Macaca fascicularis: one gene and its partners. The protein of the gene in region 2 purifies or fractionates together with the protein of the main gene of each other region. This does not show direct contact. Links are inferred from orthologs where the notes say so. Each region holds a gene or a part of one and is shown on either strand. Other genes may lie near its edges. The genes, in order: NUP43, NUP160 and SEH1L.

What was found.
Region 1: the proteins of NUP160 (region 2) and NUP43 purify together in Homo sapiens (affinity purification with mass spectrometry; 5 studies listed by BioGRID and IntAct, counting the BioPlex papers as one, with this or other methods). This does not show direct contact. The link is inferred for Macaca fascicularis from reciprocal best matches to the Homo sapiens genes NUP160 and NUP43.
Region 3: the proteins of NUP160 (region 2) and SEH1L fractionate together in Homo sapiens (co-fractionation; 3 studies listed by BioGRID and IntAct, with this or other methods). This does not show direct contact. The link is inferred for Macaca fascicularis from reciprocal best matches to the Homo sapiens genes NUP160 and SEH1L.

Annotation. Positions count from the first base shown.
Region 1 is NC_088378.1:57,718,869-57,722,420, reverse strand, and holds part of NUP43 (nucleoporin Nup43), read left to right. Parts: intron 1-503; coding exon 504-626; intron 627-2,766; coding exon of another isoform or gene 2,767-2,816; exon of another isoform or gene 2,817-2,860; coding exon of another isoform or gene 2,861-2,964; exon of another isoform or gene 2,965-3,098; intron 3,099-3,552. UniProt on the Homo sapiens protein: Component of the Nup107-160 subcomplex of the nuclear pore complex (NPC). The Nup107-160 subcomplex is required for the assembly of a functional NPC.
Region 2 is NC_088388.1:17,983,421-17,987,675, forward strand, and holds the start of NUP160 (nuclear pore complex protein Nup160), read left to right. Parts: upstream 1-1,442; 5' UTR 1,443-1,571; coding exon 1,572-1,773; intron 1,774-2,032; coding exon 2,033-2,144; intron 2,145-4,255. UniProt on the Homo sapiens protein: Functions as a component of the nuclear pore complex (NPC). Involved in poly(A)+ RNA transport.
Region 3 is NC_088392.1:81,000,873-81,005,077, reverse strand, and holds the start of SEH1L (nucleoporin SEH1), read right to left. Parts: upstream 2,822-4,205; 5' UTR 2,731-2,821; coding exon 2,620-2,730; exon of another isoform or gene 2,616-2,619; intron 1-2,615. UniProt on the Homo sapiens protein: Component of the Nup107-160 subcomplex of the nuclear pore complex (NPC). The Nup107-160 subcomplex is required for the assembly of a functional NPC.

The DNA of each region.
Region 1 (3,552 bases), on a different chromosome or scaffold from region 2:
CCAGCTACTATTTTCATTTATTTCCTTGCCCAGTACACAAATTTATTTGGCTTCTTTTTCCTTTTTTTTTTTCTCAGTCTCACTTTGTCACCGAGGCTGGAGTGCAGTGGTGCAAGCTCGCGCAACCTCCGCCTCCCAGGTTCAAGTGATTTTCCTATCTCAGCCTCCTAAGTAGCTGGGACTACAAGCATGCACCACCACGCCTGGCTAACTTTTGTATTTTTAGTAGAGATGGTATTTCACCATGTTGCCCAGGCTGGTCTTGACCTTAGCTGATCCACCCGCCTTAGCCTCCCAAAGTGTTCTTTTTCCTTTCTACATGTTATAGGCATTGGAAAGTTATGTTATGTCTTTAATTCTGAAACCTTTAATTTTTATGATAGACTTGAGGCTTGAAGGTATGCGATGGAGGATAATGGAAGATGGTGCCTAGAGATGGGGGTTTAATGTTGTTTGTTCAGCGAATCTGCACAGGAATGAGCTTCTTGATTCTTGTCTCTTAGTGTGGGAAGTTCACTTTCACCCATCCAACCCAGATCATCTATTTACCTGCTCTGAAGATGGATCCCTCTGGCACTGGGATGCTTCCACAGATATACCTGAAAAGTCATCACTCTTTCACCAAGGTACAACTTTTTAATGAATACTCTTACGTGTAATCTCTCTCTTTTTTTTTTTTTTTTAAAAGACAGAGTCTCACTCTGTCACCCAGGCTGGAATGCAGTGGCACGATCTCAGTTCACTGCAGTCTCTGCCTCCGGGGTTCAAGTGATTCTTGTGCCTCAGCCTCTCGAGCAGCGGGGACTACAGTCATGCACCACCATGCCTGGCTAATTTTTTTGTATTTTTAGTACAGATGGGGTTTCACCATGTTGGCCAGGCTGGTCTCGAACTCCTGATCTCAAATGATCCGCCTGCCTCAGCCTCCCAAAATGCTGGGATTACAGGAGTGAGCCACCATGTTTGGCCTTTTTCTTTTCTTTTTTTTTTTTTTTTTGGATACAGAGTCTTAGTCACCCAGGCTGGAGTGCTGGAGTGCAATGGTGCAGTCTTGGCTCAGTGCAACCTCTGCCTGTCGGGTTCAAGCTTTTCTTGTGCCTCAGCTTCCCTAGTAGCTGGGATTACAGGTGTGTGCCACCACACCTGGCTAATTTTTTTGTATTTTTAGTAGAGATGGGGTTTTGCCGTGTTGGCCAGGCTGGTTTCGAACTCCTGGCCTTAAGTGATCTGCCACCTCAGCCTCCCCAAAATGCTGGGATTACAGGCGTGAGCCACTGTGCCCAGCCTGTTATGTGTAATTTTATCGTACTTTAATTTTGTTTGTTTTGTTTTGTTTTGTTTGAGACAGGGTCTCACTCTGACATGCAGGCTGGACTGCAGTGGCATGGTCACAGCTTGCTACATCCTCGCCCTCCTGGACTTAAGCAATCCTCCTGCCCCAGCCTCCCAAGTAGCTGAGAGCAGAGGTTCTTGCCACCACAACCAGCTAATTAAAAAAAAATTTTTTTGTACAGACGAGCTCTCACTATTCTGCCCAGGCGTGTCTTGAACTCCTGAGCTCAAGTGATCCTCCTGCCTGGGCCTCCCGAGGTGCTGCTGTTATAAGCATGAGCTGCTGTACCCAGCCTTGTTATACTTTTAAATACCAAATTAGACATCCTTGTAGTTTTTACTTAATGGCAAAACATTTTTATTCTCTTGCCTCAGAGTAAATTTGAGTATCACAGGGCTTGAAATCTGACTGTCAAGTTACTTACTACTGTATGGCTGATGGCTAGAAATGCTGTAAGCTGGCTCACTTGAGACAGCCAAGGTTCTTCTTTGCGAGTGCCATTGACCTAGACCCTCATGCCATAGCACAGACACAGGCAAATCTTTTATATTGCATTGCCAAGTTTGTGTGAATGGCAAGAAAAAAGTTGATATTTGATGTAACTGAGGGTACTGGTTTTTTCTCAAGTTGTGCCGGGTGTGGTGGCTCATGCCTGTAATCCCAACACTTTGGGAGGCCGAGGCGGGTGGGTCATCTGAGGTTGAGAGTTCGAGACCAACCTGACCAACATGGAGAAACCTCATCTCTACTAAAAATACAAAATTAGCCTGGTGTGGTGGCGCATACCTGTAATCCCAGCTACTCAGGAGGCTGAGGCAGAAGAATCACTTTTACCCGGGAGATGGATGTTGCAGTGAGCCGAGATCGTACCATTGCACTCCAGCCTGGATAGCAAGAGTAAAACTCCGTCTCAAAAAAAAAAAAAAAAGAAAAGGGCCTGCTTTTCCTCATTATAGTCAGTGGTAGGTTATGGTCAGCCAAAAACCATTCTCTTGTTGTAATCAAGGGTTTGTAGGTTTTTGCATTTTCCAAGTTTCCTGTTTTTGAGGGTTTGTCTGTGGTTCCATAGTTCTTTTGCTTATTCATTCATTCAGAAATATTTACTGAATGCCTATCATGTAGGCATTCTTCTAGGTGTTAGGGCATATAACAGTGAGCAGAACGAAATGTCAACACGCATAGAGCAAATATTCTAGTAGACAGTTAAAAAATAGATAATGTATCAATAAGAGTCCAATCAGAATGTCAGAAACTACCTTTGATGTAGAGGGAATTGGTCTCACATGTGTTAGAAGGGCTGGGAAAACAAAAGGTAATAGGAGAGGGGTTGAGAGAACAAATAGGAAAAAAGGGAGCACCCAGAAATAATAATTGTTAGTACCCCTGCTACTGCATTGTTGAAAATGCTGTAAAAGTTTGTTCTGAATCAGCAGAAAAGGCGCTCCCTCAACCAGGCTGGAACTACCACCAGTGTTGTTGCTAGAAACCTGGAGCAGGAAGGAGCTGCTTCTCCCCTCTGTCTTCCAGTCACTCACCATGAATACCTGCTATTGGCAAGGCCCATCTGGATGGCAGATGCCAAAGAGCCTGGAAAGTGGAGTTTGCTGACTTCCACCCCCTACAGTATATAGCAGAGCACAGAAAAGTGGAAAGGAGACCGAAAAGAAAAAGGAGGCCGGGCGCAGTGGCTAACGCCTGTAATCCCAACAATTTGGGAGGCCAAGGTGGGCAGATCACCTGAGGCCAGGAGTTCGAGACCAGCCTGGTCCAACGTGGTGAAACCCTGTCTCTACTAAAAATACAAAAATTAGCTGGGCGTGGTGGTGGATGCCTGTAATCCCAGCTACTTGGGAGGCTGAGGCCGGTGAATCGCTTGAATCTTGGAGTTAGACGTTGCAGTGAGCCAAGATCGTGCCACTGCACTCCAGCCTGGGCAACAGAGTGAGACTCTGTCTCAAAAAAAAATAAAAGAAAAAGGAAAATAATGTGGCCAAATACACTGCTAATTACCATGAAGAAGAATACACAAGAGTAGGTGGAAAAACAATAAAGACAGGGGTGACGGGAGCTACTCTAGTTAGAGAGTCGTAAGAAGAAGCCACTTGGCAGAAGGAACATTTGAGCAGAGACTTAAGAGAAGTGAAGGTGTAAGTGACATGAAAGCATTCTAGGCAGAGGAAACAGCAAATGCTGAGGACCTGAGACAGGCAGAGTACAGC
Region 2 (4,255 bases):
GAGTGTAACCGCGCGATCTCGGCTCACTGCAACCTCCACCTCCCAGGTTCAAGCGGTTCTCCTGCCTCAGCTTCCCAAGCAGCTGGGATTACATGCACGCACCATCATGCCCCCGCTAATTTTTCTTTTTCTTTTTTTTTTTTTTTTTGGAGACTGAGTCTTGCTCTGTCACCCAGGCTGGAGTGCAGTGGCGCGATCTAGGCTCACTGCAACCTCTGCCTCCCGGGTTCAAGTGATTCTCCTGCCTCAGCCTCCCGAGTAGCTGGGATTACAGGCGTGCATTACCATGCCCGGCTAATTTTTTGTATCTCACTGTTTCACCATGTTGGCCAGGCGGGTCTGGAACTCCTTACCTCGTGATCTGCCCACCTCGGCCTCCCAGAGTGCTAGGATTACAGGCGTGAGCCACTGCGCCCGGCTAATTTTTCTGTTTTTCGTAGAGGCCGGGTTTCACCATGTTGGCCAGGCTGGTCTTGAACTCCTGACCTCAAGTGATCCTCAAGTCTTGGACTCCCAAAGTGCTGGGATTACAGGCGTGAGCCACCACACCCGACCTTGGTGTATAGTTTTCTTCAGGCACGTTCAGCTACAGATTTGAATGTAATCGAAGTTGTTTTTACTGATGAAGAGTTAGGCAATGAAGTAATTTAATGGTATTCAGGATAAGGAAGAAACACCAAAGAAGTGAGGGACAGTGAAGAGCTTGTATAACAATGGATTTCAGGTAGAATGAGGGGGCTGCACTGCCAAAGTTGGTGTCCCAGAGGGAGTGAAGTGGAAAGATAGGAAATGATGGTCGGAACCAGATAAATGAAACGGAGAATGACAGGGAATGGCTGTGGTCACTGGTAATAGAAGTGACCAACAAGCGTTGGCTATCACTAAGGAACAAAACCTTCCCTGCTGGAGATTAGCATTTTCCCCGATTTTGAACATCTACCCCCACAATATCTTCTAAACATCCACTATGGGCCCTTATTGCATTGACAGCCAAGTGCAAGATCACGGTTGGAATGAATGGCAAATTCTTTTCACGTATCCAAGTGAGTAGCACTCAGGTAACCTCAGCAGGTGGCAGCATCAAGGTTTACCACATTACGTTTCATTATACAGGAATACACGAATACAGTCTCTTGGGGGGAAAAAAGACCAAAACCAAAGGCCCTTCCCTCACTACCCCTTCCTCACCCCGCCAACCCAAGTGCCACTGAAGAGCGAAGGGAGGATCGGCAAAGATTTACAGACGGACACCCTAACCGAGGGAGAGGTGACCAAACACCCGGGATCCGGCAGAGGACGCCCAAAGGCCGGACCTCCCCGGACCTCGCCCCTCCTGGGAGACTGAGCCCCGCGTTTTGGAAACAGAAACAAACCCGGTCCCGCCCCCTGCCCTGCGGCCGCTGAGAAAAGGGCACCGCCCTCCGGAGGCGTTCCAGCCGGCCACTCGAAGATTCCAGCAGATACAGTCGGCCTCCCCTGCCCGCTTCTCTTCTGGATTCCCCGCTGCCCATCCTCATTCTCCCGGTGGAAGCCCCGCAACGAAGGACCGGAGCCCCCTTTCTGCTCCCGGGATGCTTCACCCGTCCGCAGCTCCGCCCGCCCCGCCCCCGGAAGTGACGGCGGCCGCGCGGCCCTGCCTTTGTCCCGTCGGGCATCGCGGCGACGGCGGGAAGATGGCGGCGGCGGGATCCCTGGAACGAAGCTTCGTGGAGCTAAGCGGGGCTGAGCGCGAAAGGCCGAGGCACTTTCGGGAATTCACAGTCTGCAGCATTGGTACGGAAGTGGCCAGGGAGGGCGCGATCCGATCTGTCCCCTCGGGCTCCTCTCATGGGTCCTAGGGTCTCTGACTGCTGGGTTCATCCTCCTGAGTCCACATGCCTCCAGCCCCGGGATCAGAGATTCCTTGATGTCCGACGTTTTCCTCTTTTCTTTGTATGGGTTGTCAGTCTGTCACCCTCTGCTTTATCAGGTCCCTTAGTCCCTGTCATTTCTCAGAAGACGCGTGTGCAGGCTGACCACGTTCATTTTGCAGGGACCGCAAATGCCGTGGCTGGCGCCGTAAAATACAGTGAGAGCGCGGGAGGCTTTTACTATGTGGAGAGTGGCAAGTTGTTCTCCGTAACCAGAAACAGGTTCATTCATTGGTAAGTGCTGTGGTTCGCCAAACTCCCCTGGAAGGTAGGGTTTGGTGTGTAAATTTTAGTTGCTGTTCCCAAAGTGCTATTCTAGAAGCGGTAATCGACACTTAGGGAAAGAGAAAGTTTTTTTTTTTCAGTTCGTATCAGAGTCGGGAAAACTGAGACACAGTTCTAGAAGAGTTTACCCTCCCCCCCCACCAATACACACACACACACCAAGCAACACCAAAAGCAGAGGGAATGTAGCTTAGGGGTATAAAGCCCATAAGACTAGTTTTAAACATGAACCCATTATGTTTTTATAGTGCTTTACAGCTTCCTTCATTGAACAAATATGTTCGAGCTTCAATATGTCAGGCATTGTGCTAGGTACCAGGACGAAATGAACAAAACTGCCATCTTCATCATGCAAGACGTTGTAGCAATGTCAGAATAGTTGTGGACTCACTTTTCATGGGGAAATTTTGTGGAGGAAAACTTGCCCTAGAGGAAAAATACAGGGGTTACGAGAGGCTAATGAGAGGACCAAATGTTATTAGTGGGGCAGGAAAAGGCTTTCACAGTTACCCTGAGGTCTAAAGGACACGAGGTTAGCCAGGTATGGGGAGTGGACAGAGAGGAGTCCAGCAAGCAGGATCACCATATGCAAAGGTCACAAAGTGGAAAGAATGTGGCAGGTTTGGAACTGACCAAAGATCTGTGTGGCTTAAGTGCAGTGGGTAAAACAGAAAGTAATGTGAGATACTGAGGCTGGAGAGGTAGGCAGGACTCGGACCATGAGGGACCCTTAGGCCATTTTTAAGGATTTTTGGATTTTATCCTAAGTACATTGAGTAATAATGGAATAGGTTTTTAAAGAGTTACTAACATCAAAATTGCATTTTTGGATGGGAACAGTTAACACTGGGGATTCCAAAAGGAGCGGGGGAGCAGAGGTTGGAAAACCTATCAGTTACTGTGTTCACAACTTGGGCGGCAGGATCATTAGAAGCCCAAACCTCATGTAGATAGGAATATATACACAATATACTCATGTAACAAAGCTGCACATGTACCCCTGAATCTAAATTTTTTAAAATGTATTTTTAGAAGATCTCAGTCTACTTTGTGGAAAGTGGATTTGGATTAGATGGGTATAATGCAAAAAAAAGTTTGCTTTTATGATGGCCCAAGTAAGGGTTGCTGGTGGTTCAATTGTGGGAATGAATAGAAATAGAAAAGTAGATGGATTCAAGATACCTTTGGAAGATAGATTCACTAGGACTTGGTGGTGGATTGAATATGGGGTAAGGGATGGTAAAAGAAAAGGAGAGAACAAGGACAGCTCCCTGGTGTCTCATGTGACTAACCAGATGTGAGTGGGGAGGGGTTGCCATTTACAGAGATCCATAGAAGATGGATTTTGGAAAGATATGAATAATTCTGTTGGACATAGTAAATTTGAAGTACCTGGGGAGCAGCCCTTTGGAAATGTCAAGTAGGCATTGAAATTTACAGGTCTAAGGCTCAAAAGAGAGACTTTATGTTAGAGATACAAATTTCATTTAGTTAAATATTTTGGCTGGGCACAGTGGCTCACACCTGTAATCCCAGCACTTTGGGGGGCTGAGGTGGGAGGATCTCTTGAGGCCAGGAGTTCAAGACCCCATTTCTACAATTTTTTTTCTTTTTTCTTTCTGTTTTTTTTTCTTTTCTTTTTGAGAGACAGTCTGGTGGCTCCATTGTCCAGGCTGGAGTGCAGTGGTGCAATCATGGCTCACTGCAGTCTCCGCCTCCTGGGTTCAAGTGACCCTCCCACCTCAGCCTCCCAAGTAGCTGCAATTACAGGTATGCGCCACCATGCCCAGCTGATTTTTCTATTTGTTTTTGTAGAGATGGGGTTTTGCCTGGTTGCCCAGGCTGGTCTTGGACTGCCGAACTCAAGCAGTGCCCCATTCTCGGCCTCCCAACTTGCTGGGATTACAGGCGGAGCCACCATGGCCGGCCTGATTTTTAAAAATTAGCCAGGCGGGGTGGCATGTGCCTTTCATCTTAACCACTCAGGAGGCTGAGGCGGGAGGATCTGATCATGCCACTGCACTCCAGCTTGGGAAACAGGGTAAGACCCCATCTCTTTT
Region 3 (4,205 bases), on a different chromosome or scaffold from region 2:
GTAATCCCAGCACTTTGGGAGGCCGAGACGGGCGGATCACGAGGTCAGGAGATCGAGAGACGATCCCGGCTAACACGGTGAAACCCCGTCTCTACTAAAAAATACAAAAAAAATAGCCGGGCGACGTGGCGGCGCCTGTAGTCCCAGCTACTCGGGAGGCTGAGGCAGGAGAATGGCGTAAACTCGGGAGGCGGAGCTTGCAGTGAGCTGAGATCCGGCCACTGCACTCCAGCCTGGGTGACAGAGCAAGACTCCGTCTCAAAAAAAAAAAAAAAAATTGAACCTTATTACCCAGAAAAAATATAGATTACAGTAAGAAGGTGCCCATTTCACCTATTAAAAATGTAACGAGGGCAACAACACTATGAAATCAATACTATCACTGGCAGTATAAAAACGGTATAACCTGAAAAATAGCAATTTGCCAATTCTCTTCACTAGTTTTTAAAATATCCACTAATTTCTCTTCTGGAATTAGCCTAAGAAAATCATTCAAAATACATAAAATGCTAAACTAATGAAAATTTTCAGTACAACACTATTTCTCACAAGACATGTATGTATATACACACACTGTACCATGGCAATTTAAAACGTTAAAGGAAAAACAGAGGAAATCAATAAATATTAACAAACATTAGCAATAAGCCTGTAATTTTTTTACTCTCTAAAAAGAAAAATATATTACTTGTTCATTTAAAAATATATACAAATAAATACATGGCTCCTCCTTTAAAAAAAAAAGTACTCTGGAATAAATGGACATAAGCGGGCTGGGCAAGGTGACTCGCACCTGTAATCCCAGCACTCTGGGAGGCTGAGGTGAGAGGATCACTTGAGCCCAGGGGTTCGAGACTAGCCTGGACAACACAGCAAGACCCTGCCTCTACAAAAACAATCTGTAGGCAGGCGTGGTGGCGTGCATTTGTAGTCTCAGCTACCGGGGAGGCTGAGGTGGGAGGATGGCCTGAACCTGGGATGTTGAGGCTGCAAAAAGCCAAGATCGCACCACTGCACTTCAGTCTAGGTGACAGAGCCAGACCTTGTCTCAAAAAAAAAAAAGGAAAAAGAAAAAAAAATTAAGTGAAATAAACCAAATATAAAAGGGCGAATATTCTATGATTCTATTTATCTGAGGTACCTAGAATATGCAAATTAATAGAAAGTAGTAGAAAAGAGGTTACCAGAGGGTGAGCTGGAGGCAACAGGGTGCTCTCGGGTACAGAGTTTCAGTTTAGGATGATGAAAAGGTTCTGGAGATGAGCAGTGGTGACGCTGCCCAGCAATGTGAATGCTGTGCTCAATGTCACTGAATTCTACACTTTAAAACGGTTAACGTAGTTTATTACAACAAAAATAAACTTGTTTCAAAAAAAGAAACTACATCGTTTAAGAACTGCAACACTACCTATAAAAAGTTTATCTTTGAGAGATCATTGGTATCAAACTCGAATGTGAAAAAGGAAAAACTGTCCTTTAGATTTTCAGTGACTCTGGAGTTGTCGAGAACCAAAATAAGCCGCACTCCAGCTTTCATTCATCCTGCAACACATCTGGGAGGTCCCTAAATCCCATATAGCATCCCCACATTCCTGTAATCTCAGCACTTCGGGAGGACGAGGCGGGCGGATCACGAGGTCAGGAGTTCAAGATCAGCCTGGCCCACATGGTGAAACACCATCTCTACTAAAAAATACAAACAAAAAATTAGCCAGGCGTGGTGCGCGCACCTGTAATCCCAGCTACGTGGGGATGCTGAGGCAGGATAATCGCTTGAACCCGGGAGGCGGAGGTTGCAGTGAGCCGAGATCGTGCCCCTGCAGTCTAGCCTAGGTGACAGTGACTCTGTCTCAAAAAAAAAAAAAAAAAAAGAAATTCTGCTTGTCGGAAGTGTCTACAGACTTTTACAGGAACTTCAAGAAACAAACCCTCCCATTCCTGCGCAGCAAGCAGAGAAGTCATTGGATGTAAACGGTTTGTATTTTTCTTCCTTGGCGTAACAAAGTGAACTTCTGCTCTGAACCCAGGGAGAAAACCATGTGCCCCAGTAAGAGAACACCGGCGGGGCACAGAACTCGACACAGCGCCGGCCAGGCAGAGTCTCCCACCAGGTCCCACTGCAGGTCCTCGAGTGAACAGTGCGGGCAAGACACGCCACGCCCAGGCGGACGGCGGGACGCCCCCGGGTTCCCGCCCCCGGGTTCCCGCCCCCGGGTTCCCGCCCCCGGGTTCCCGCCCCCGGGTTCCCGCCCCCGGGTTCCCGCCCCCGGGTTCCCGCCCCCGGGTTCCCGCCCCCGGGTTCCCGCCCCCGGGTTCCCGCCCCCGGGTTCCCGCCCGCAGCCACCGCAGCGCTGCCCGAGCGAAAGCCCGGCGTCCCCTGCGGGCGGGAGCGCGCACGCGGCACCAGCTGCGCAGGCGCACGGGAGCGCGGCCCGCGAGGCCGCCGTGACCCCACAATACGCGGGCGGGGAGGGCTTCCGCCCCGTCCAGCCAGGGCTCGGCCGCCACCCCACAGCTTCCCGCGGCGTCACTGAAACCCAGACACAGCCGTGTTCCCCGCACCGCCCACCCACTCCCCCTCCTTCCGGGCTCGGCCCCGCCCGCAAGCGCCGCGCGCACCTTCACGCTCTGATCGCTGGAGCAGGTCGCCATCCGCCGCCCGTGGAAGTCGAAAGAGACATCGTGGATGAGATCCTTGTGGTCCGCCGCGATGCTGCGAGCCACAAACATGGCTTCCGTCGGGCCCGCGCCTCCGAAGAGGACAGTGGCGGCGGCAGCGGCGGCGGCGCGCGGCCCGCAGCCTCGCCCGACCTCGCAGCCCGGGAGCGCACGGCGCGTGCTGCCCACGCCCCCGCCCCGCCCCTGCCCATCAAGCCCCGCCCACACCCCCGGTCCCTCAAGCCCCGCCCCACCCACGGGCCCGTCCAGCCCCACACCGTCCCCTGGCCCCTCAAGCCCCGCCCAGGCCCTGGCTCATCATGACTCGCCCCACCCCTCGGTCCCTGAAGCCTCGCCCCGCCCCCTGGCCCGTAAGCCCCGCCTACCCCCCGGGCCGTCATGCCTCGCCCCGCCCTCCCGCCCCCTCAAGCCCCGCCCTGTCCTCGGCGCCGCACGTCCTGCGGGACTGGTGCGGGTGCCTCCGGGCTCTGAGCGTTCGGCGGCGGCGGTTGCTCTGCAAAAGGCGAGTTACCTGTGATGAGAAGCAGTAAGAGGTTATTTGTATACTGTGAAATGAAGAAGGATGAGAAAGTGAAGACTGCTCTCGCGGTCCTCGTTTCCCCCAGACACGTGCGAGGCGCGCGGAGCGGGTGGAGGCGGCGAGCCGTGGGCGTGGTCAGGAGCCGCGCTCCGCAGGGACGGCCGAGGAGCCGGGAGGGCCGGGGAGACGCCTGAGGGCATGACGGGCAGTCCAGGCTCGGCCGCCGAAGAGCGCAGGCTGGACGGGGAGGAGAGGATCGGAAGTACTAGTTTAAATGCGTCAACGTTTTGCCGGCAGACCGGGCCCGGGGGTTCCAGGAGCCACCACGGGGTAGGGAAACAGTAGGAATTACCAGAGCCCGCCGGTAGAAACGTCATCCCGGGGGAAGGAAGCAGCCGGGGAACTGGGCCGCCTGCTCGCCGGGAGGCGGAGTCCTCGGGGAAAGGAGGTGAAGAGGACCAGACCCCCGGGAGGACGCCTGGCTCGGATCACGGATTCCGCCACAACGGAGAGTGGAGGAGCCTCTTCCGAGACGCCAGCGACTCAGGGGGCTTGCTTATAGGAAAAGGCATTCTGGAGGGCGTAGTGGGAAAGTTTAGGATGGAGACGGTGGAAGCTTGCGTCAGGGGAGCGAAAGTACAGAAGAAAAAAAAAACTAAAAATGAGGCTGTAGGAAATCCCTTTGGATTTTGGCCAGGAATGACAAGAATGTGAGGTATGGTAAGATTAGCAGGCTGGAAAGGTTTTTAAATGATTGGTCCCAGCTGTCCCCTGACGGATTGCACAGAAACCTGCAAACAGAAGTGGCGAAATGACCTTTTTCAACCGTAAATAAGATTGTATTGCTACCTTAAGAGGTGTACCCCACCTCTTATGATAACTGATAACAACTATAACTTTTTTGAGGGTCAAAGACACTCATATCCAAAGAAAGTGCTCACTATGAAAGTCCAATCAAAATATATTGATTATTATTAAAATACCAAAACAGTTTAAAAATTCTTTT